Linked DNA regions of Solanum lycopersicum. The main gene of each other region encodes a partner of the protein of the gene in region 2 in a complex. Links are inferred from orthologs where the notes say so. Each region holds a gene or a part of one and is shown on either strand. Other genes may lie near its edges.

Evidence for each region.
Region 1: general transcription factor IIH subunit 2 (region 2) and general transcription and DNA repair factor IIH subunit TFB4 share a complex: the UniProt entries of both Arabidopsis thaliana proteins name them as parts of the 7-subunit TFIIH core complex. The link is inferred for Solanum lycopersicum from reciprocal best matches to the Arabidopsis thaliana genes GTF2H2 and AT1G18340.

Annotation. Positions count from the first base shown.
Region 1 is NC_090805.1:46,431,464-46,435,841, reverse strand, and holds the start of general transcription and DNA repair factor IIH subunit TFB4, read left to right. Parts: upstream 1-1,410; 5' UTR 1,411-1,494; coding exon 1,495-1,525; intron 1,526-1,628; coding exon 1,629-1,726; intron 1,727-1,835; coding exon 1,836-2,079; intron 2,080-2,433; coding exon 2,434-2,480; intron 2,481-3,210; coding exon 3,211-3,248; intron 3,249-3,323; coding exon 3,324-3,369; intron 3,370-3,530; coding exon 3,531-3,584; intron 3,585-3,688; coding exon 3,689-3,757; intron 3,758-4,378. Other genes in the region: uncharacterized protein, read right to left, coding at 385-459, 555-590. UniProt on the Arabidopsis thaliana protein: Component of the general transcription and DNA repair factor IIH (TFIIH) core complex, which is involved in general and transcription-coupled nucleotide excision repair (NER) of damaged DNA and, when complexed to CAK, in RNA transcription by RNA polymerase II.
Region 2 is NC_090803.1:54,338,846-54,342,668, forward strand, and holds part of general transcription factor IIH subunit 2, read right to left. Parts: intron 3,018-3,823; 5' UTR 3,014-3,017; coding exon 2,753-3,013; intron 1,796-2,752; coding exon 1,334-1,795; intron 1,120-1,333; coding exon 747-1,119; intron 1-746. UniProt on the Arabidopsis thaliana protein: Component of the general transcription and DNA repair factor IIH (TFIIH) core complex, which is involved in general and transcription-coupled nucleotide excision repair (NER) of damaged DNA and, when complexed to CAK, in RNA transcription by RNA polymerase II.

The DNA.
Region 1 (4,378 bases), on a different chromosome or scaffold from region 2:
AGTGCAAGAAAAGCTAGCTTTGAATACATTAGCTTTAAGTCTCTTTTTGATACATATAGAATGAGAGAAAAAGAACAAATTTTTTTTTCAAAATAGCAAGAACTATGTGCCTACAAATGTTGAGTTCTTGGTGTATCAAACAAGTAAATTGTAATAATCCAAAATCAGTGAGAGAATTAATGTATTCCCTGAATGTGAGAAGGAACTTTCTTGGTGCTCTGAACAACAAAATTCCAACTCACTTACCAGAAAGAAAAAAAAAGCAAGAACAGTGTATAAAACATAAAAAGAACCTTTTTTTAAGCTAATATTTGTATATACAAGAGCCACAAACAAAAATCTATAAACCCATGAGACAGAAATCAAAGCTCTGAGAGGAAAAACCTGTTGGAGGCCGCCACCCAGTTTAATCGTTTGGTTAGTCATGCTGGAAAGATCTAAAACAACATCACCAGGAACCTAATCAAAACCAAAAATACAATCTTTTTTGCATCAAACAATTTATACACTATAATCTGGCACAAGAAATCGAAAAAAAAAAAGTTTGTACTTACTACTGGTTTATCAATGAAGCAAGGTTTCGAACCCATTGTATTGTGTTTTTCTTGATTGAACAGAGTGTTTGTGTAAAGTCTTGGGGTTTATGTCTCAACAATGTTAAAGATTGCTAACCTAGCACCCCTTTGTTATCAACATAAATAGTTTTTATACAAAGTTATATTTTTTAAAAAATAAGGAACGAAGAAACTTCTAATTTGGGTTAGAGGAAAATAAAAAAAAATTATATTTTTTACGCAAATTATATAATGTCAATAGCTAATTATATTTCATTCTTACTATATTCAAATTACTAAAATTCCCTAAGTATAGTGGAATCCGAATACATTCCAAAGCATTTCGATACATCGTATCTATGTTTCAGATATGTTGCATCTCGATTATCTGATACATTGCTCACATCCTCATATATCACGCAAAGTGATTTATTCGACTAGTTATAATTTTTTCAAATAGTAAAAGTTTTAAATAATGTGATAAAATAAGTTGTGTATTTAATTTTCCTAAAAATAATAAGTACTCCTAGGTAGGGAAAATTAAAATAGAGAATTAAAAATAAAGGGATTTTTTTTTAAAAAAATAAAAATAATAATTTGGATTTTAGGGGAAAATTAAAATAAGAAATAATAAAGTAAAAAGTTTGGGTTTAGGGAAAATTAAAATAATATGTAAAAAAAATTGACAGCTGTGGGATTTGAACCCACGCCCTTTCGGACCAGAGCCTAAATCTGGCGCCTTAGACCACTCGGCCAAACTGTCTTTTTGTTATGATAACGATGTTTTTTTTTATTAACAATTAATTATCGAAGTCTTTTTCTGTTATGATTCAATAAAAATAAGCATTATATAAGTAAAAAGGCAAAGCCCGACAGTATATTGCATCGGCGACGCTCTCTACACCTGACCGGTGAATTAAGGTTTATTCCACCGGCGGCCATGACACCGGTTTCATCAAAGCTTTACGCAGGTCTGTCTCCTTCTCTGTCTGTGTAGCTGAAGTATGCAATAAGTACATGTTAGTGGAATAAGAGGAAAATGTGTTAAAATTAATCTCTTTTGAATACTTTCAGACGATGTGAGCCTATTGATGGTTCTGGTTGATACAAATCCCTACTTCTGGAGCTCAATGAAGAACACTGCCTTCACATTCCCTAAATTCATATCACACGTAAAGACCCCTAAAACCCAAAATTTGTTTTTTTTTTTAAAAAAAAATGAATAGTTTTGTGTTCTCCATTTGTTGAATTTTGATGCTGGAATGTATGGGGGAAATGCAGGTTCTTGCTTTCTTGAATTCGATACTTTTACTGAATCAGATGAACCAAGTAGTTGTGATTGCAACTGGGTACAATTCATGTGATTATGTATTCGATTCGTCTACCTCGTCAATGCAAAGAGCTGAGTGTTTGTTGGAGAAACTGGAGGATTTTGTGGATAAAGATGAGTCCTTGAGTCAAGAAGACTCTGTTGATGGAGTTGGGTTTTCGCTGCTTTCTGGTGCACTTTCTATGGCTTTGTGCTGTATCCTCAATCAGTTCATGTCTGTTGGTTTTTTTTATATTCTTATTGAAGTGAAATTTTAATGATTTTTATTGAGATGCAGAACCAAAATTTGGACTTGCTAGGTTTATTCTTTGAAGCTCTTAGCACTGAATTTATTGACTGTTGAAATTCTAGATACGAAATCTAATCTTTTTGGTTAGATTTTAGTTTTTCTTACTTGTGTATTCATGTTCCGTATTTGAAAATACTGAGTTTGGTTGAACCCGTAGCTATTAGCTATATCTGCCACTGGTTTTTATTTGTTATTGTGCATAGCTTTGCATTCACGTTTGTTTAGAGGAAGTGTTTCTCTTGACCTGTGTGCACTGTTAGACATTCAACGGGTATTTCGTTCAGGGCCTCTTCATCCACAACCTCGGGTAAGTTCCTTATTTTACAAGAAACTGAAAATGGGTTCTTCTGGGATTTTGAATTGATGGAATTTGTTATGAGAATTTCTACTTGTATTATTTTGTTTATCCAGTTACATTTATAGATTTTATGCTTATGTGAAATTTTCCTGGTCGATCCATTTGGGATCGTAAGCTTTAGCATTTACAAGCATAACATGTTATTATGCCAAATACCTTATCCATGGAAATATCTCTCGTCCAAGGGGAAAAAGAACTTCGAGTTTTTTCCAGTGATTTCTTTGGCCTTTTACGTTTCATGTTAATTCTGATAGTGTTTCTTAACCCCAAAGGTGCATTTAAGGGGGTTTGGTGAGGTAATACTTTAAGTTATTCTATGTTTTATGTACCTTAAACAAAACCATCAATTAAACTTCAATGTGCCCTGATTTATTTGTACTGCAATTTTTATCCAATGGTATAGTGAAACTACCATTCCCATCCTTATCAAGAAAAGAAAAAACTAGCATTCCCGATGAAATGCCATTTCTGGTCCCATTTCATTGGCAATTTCTTAATGTGATATTATCAGATATTACTACATCATTTTTGTGTTTGTTAATTTGATCATTTATCAGTAAGGTAGTTGTTAGGAAAAAAAAATCTGTCTTCTCTTGTTTTATACTTTAAAATTTGATCCGTTTTTGTTATGTTGGATATGAATATTGATGCTAAGAAAATGTGCTTGAAATTATGGCAGATATTGTGTCTGCATGGATCTCCAGATGGGCCGGGACAGTATGTTGGATCTTCACAGCTTCTACAATCTTCTCATTGTTAGGTTCTCTGCTGAAACATGTTCTTTTTTTGCAGATATGTTGCAGTCATGAATTCAATTTTCTCAGCTCAACGTTCAATGGTATATAGGATTTAACAATTCTTTCCTTCAATTTTCCTTCTTGATTAATTAGAAAGTTGTCACATGTCTTCATAAATGTAGAATTTTCAAAATTAGGGATCGGGACTTAGATTTCCATATTGTGATCCTACTCTAAGAAATGCAATGCGTTTTTATTGCAGGTACCCATTGATTCATGTGTAATAGGATCTCAGCATTCTGCTTTTCTTCAGCAGGTAGCATTTCTATACCTGAAAGTTCTGGTTGAAAATCTATTCCTTCTCAGCATGAGTTATTTTCTGGCTCACTGATCTTATGGTGCATATCTATCTGGGAACAGGCTTCTTACATAACTGGTGGTGTATATTTGAAACCCCAAGTATCAGATGGACTGTTTCAATATCTCTCTGTAAGTGTTATTAAAATTATTAATACTAAGTTGTCTCTCTTTGTCAAAAAAAATACTAAGTTGTCTCTAGCTTAGCATTTTAACTTGTCAATAGCATGGATCCAACATTGAACATCTACGGTTGTCTCCAGTGCTGCCTTCAGACATTAGTTTCTATCTGATGTGTAAGCATGTTGAACAAGTCACTATACTTTGATTTGTTTAGTGTATGCAATTTTTGTTTCCAAGGAGCTTACACTAAAAAGACCTTCCAAAAGTTTGACCTATTTTAAATCTGGTATTAAATATTTAATATATGTACTACTATTGTTGGTGTTGGAGATACAGTGATCAACCAAAAGGCTATGACTGAAAGTACCAATGTACTCTTTGTGGACTTAGAAAATCTTCTCCAAATGTCTTCTGGACTGCCGCAGTCCGATGGCTTCTCCTTTTGCCCTCTATAGTGAACTTCTCATGCTTTGTCTCTGTGAGTAGGAGATAATAATATCATGAATGAAGATGTGATTGTTGTATGACCTTATTTTCAACATTTCGTTCACGTTTCATGGAATGCAATAGACCCATTGCTAAAACCACTTCCACGACTAGAATACAGTATCTACACCAGAAGTTATATTG
Region 2 (3,823 bases):
TTAGATTTTTGGCGTAAAGAACAGAATATAGAAGAAATCCAATTAGTGGATTTTATATTATTTCTTGTAACTATCCATGACTCTTTTGTAAATTTTGGAGGAGGCCAGCATAGCCCTGAATGCTGATGAACACAACTTTTACCAATTCAAAAAAAAAAAAGAAAGAAAGGAACTTCATTGACATCCTTAGCAACAGCAGATGCTTCAGGTCAGGGTTATGTACCCACGGTTAATCTGATAAACTACTCTACTTGAAAATTATCAAATTATCGAACATCCTAGCATATACATAGATAATGATAATATCTGCAAAACTGATGGCCAGCATTAAGGATGCTGAGGAATACAATGTTACCAGTTTCAAAAGAAAATGCAAATCTCAGGTGTTCCATTTTTATTTATTTATTTTGATAAGGAATACCAGCTCAGGTGCTTCTTTGGGTCCCAGATTCACTCTAAAGGTTACTTACGATGCAGTCTTGACAGCAAACAGAGAGACATATTCCATCATTTTGGCATGAATCTTTTTTACCACTGGAAGTTTCAATTCTGAACCAAAAAATTGCAAGTCGTTTTTACAAATATATTGTGTGACCAAGTGCTTCATTGGATCGCAGATTCACTTCAGTGGTTATTTATAGAATAATCTTGAAGAGTAAAAAAATAAGACAGATTTCCTTGTTTTTCGGCATAAATATTTTACCTCAAGATAGTTTCGATTTTGTAAATAAGAAGAGTGCTCTTACCAGGATTTAGAAGACTCAGTTGGCAACCAAAGCAATTCTTTGGTAACTTGTGAAAATCTTTCAGAGCTGAGGGTGAAACGTCATCAAATGGCCTTATTGGGAAGAGATGGTGATATGACCTTGCCAAATGTGGAGAAGATACAAGGGTCAGTCCGCAAATGCAACACTCAGTAGGCAGCTCACATATGCGCGCTTTGCATCTCGGACAAGTGTATCCACCACCAACTTTAGCCTCTTTATGACATGAACAAATTGAAATGACACCCTCTGCTGTTCTTTGGGGGAACCCCATCTTAATCAAATTTGCAACAGCGAACTCTGCAATAGCTGGAGGAGGTGGGGCATGCTCCAATACCAACTCTTTTAAATGAGGCTGACAGAGCAATAACAACGAATCAAATCATAAAACGTTTTAACAATATTATGCTTGCCACATATTATTAATCATATCATTCAATGAGACATTTTACATAGTAGGCTATTAGAACCAAATTTATCCTAAATTTCCAGCAAAAGATTTCCTTATTCTATTAGTTTTTGTTTCACAAGTTCTGGTATTACCACTACTTCAGAGCTCAATTCCTTACCTCATCCAATGCAACAAAATACATTCCACCAGTCTCTTGGCAGAGATGCTTGCATATGTAGAGTTCTGCAGAGAGACCAATTACTGAGCACCTTATCTTGGACGCTTTGCATTTTTGGATGGTTTCCAGTATATCCCCCGGATCACATGTGCTAAGAGCTGAATACAAGATAAGGGCTTCACGATGACCATACGATGGGATTTGATTTAGGAGATCACACACAAGATCTAGGCCATTCTGAAGGGATGCATCACCAGAGGTCCCCAATTTACCCATCAATGCCTTGATATGAGCCTCGGGACTGCCACCAAGATCTGTTAAGCAATGAGCTACTCCATCTTTCAAGATCACCAAGCCAATTTGACTCAGGGGATTCTGGTCAAAAAATTCTCTTATATAAGCCTCCACTTGTCTAGCAACTACAACCATTCGGCTTGGTTTATAATCCATTTCTGCAGCTGCCTAAAATTCAAAATTCAGGTGAGCAATTACAAACTCAAAAGATGTAAAAGTCCAAGATATTATGAGACATTACTGTCTCTCTCTCTCTTTCAAAAAGTCATTTTTAAAGTCATCCAGACTTAATTGAAATGAACGCTAAAAGTCTCTACTATTATGTCGAGATTTCTAGTATTCAAAGCATTTTGATTTTTCTTCTAGCTTTCCAAGTTGGCGTGGGTGTTGCGGAATATAAGCATGTAGGAAAAGTATCAAGTAGATGCAACCAATGCTCACAAAAACTTTCGAGCAATGCGAAAAAAAGAAAACTAGGAAAATGTCACGGAAAAGGATGCTGACATCTTGAAAGGAGAACTATCAGCCAGAGGCTTACATGCAAATGTTTAAGATTGTCTGTTAAAGCACCTTGTCAATGATAAAAGAAAACGTCCAATGCAGTGATAAGCACAACCCAATTAAGGGACATTTTCAAAATGCAATAATTGTCTTATAAACTCAATTCACAATTTTAGAATTTCAAAACGTGGTTTAAAGAAATATGGTGACATCAAAACAGAAAGTAGGTATACACTTGAATATTCATTAAACTGATCGAAGACGACCCAATTGCTTAGTTTTATCAATATCTTATAGCATAATCAACCAGTTGCAATCACTAAATCTTCAGCCCTAGATGCAAATAGAAATCCATAAAACAAAGAGCTGCTGGTTCTTTAAAAAGGACCCTGTTGTGTTCCTTCATAAGAAACAATTTGCTAGCATCAGAAGAAGATCAGCAGATTGTCTGGGAAATTGGACCTGATTAACTTCTTCCGGAGATAACTCATTTACAAACAGATAACTATAGATGCTTAAATAATTGTTTCATATTTTGCAAAAAAAAAAAAAAATTAACCTTTAAATGTCAGTAACCAATTACAATACTGCAGTTATTTTGCAATCATACAGGATTTTACATACCCTGGAGAAATCAATGATAATGTAGAGGTACCGAATCAAACCCTTCTGAATTCGTGCAGCAGTTGCAGTGCGGAGACGTCGTCGATACTGAGCATGGGATAGAGTTTTGTTGTCAATTGGACGAAGGAGTCCTGATTCATCCTCTTGTAAAGACTCCCATGATCTTTCATCTGCATAAGTTCTTTCCCATGCTTCTCGACCTCTCCCATTTTCTTCCTCATCCTCCTCTTCTTGATTAAATCTTTTTTCTTCCGTGTTCATTTCCCTGTTAGATATAATACCAACTCTTAATAAGATAACCAGATACTTGAGAAACTAATTGTACAAACTCAGTATTAGTACAAGATACTGTATGTAGGTGTTCTGAGTTCCTTGCATTACACATCCTTACTACATGCACTATTTTCCAATATGTACCTAGTCCTTTGCTATTTCTATGCTTCACTTTTCCCCCTAAGTGTGTCACGCCCCATTTTCTCGCAAAAGCGGGCTTCAACATGTGACAACTCTTTTAATGAGCTAAAGAGAAGAGTTATCACCTACTGGGTTAAGGTGTGTTAGAACACCCTAATTTTTTTAATATAATTGTGGTGTCCGGGCCAATTAATTCCATGGGATACATGTACCTCTTACCAAGAGGTACTAGGTAACGTCCACAAATGGGATGAAATCACCTTATTTTTTGTCTCTACTGGGATTTGAAGCAACGACCTTAGGGTTCTCAATCCACTTCATTCCAACACCCCTCTTGCGCATTAGGGAACCTATTACTACAACTAATTGCAAATAATTCAATTTACTAGTCTCCACAACCTGAGATCATTAAGAGTTCAAATCACCTCAAAAGAAAAGTAATAGGCATCATACAAGGTTCACAACTAGGTTCCCTACAAATTCAAACTAGGTGGGATTTAAGTGCTTAAGCTAGATAATTTTAACTGATGTAGATGATTAAAGATTCAAGTAGTTGTATTAATCTAAGTGACACAAGTAAAAATTAATGCTAGGAAGCTAGGTGTTAATGTAGAAATACGATTTGGAAAAATGAAGAGAGGAAGCTTCATTGATAAA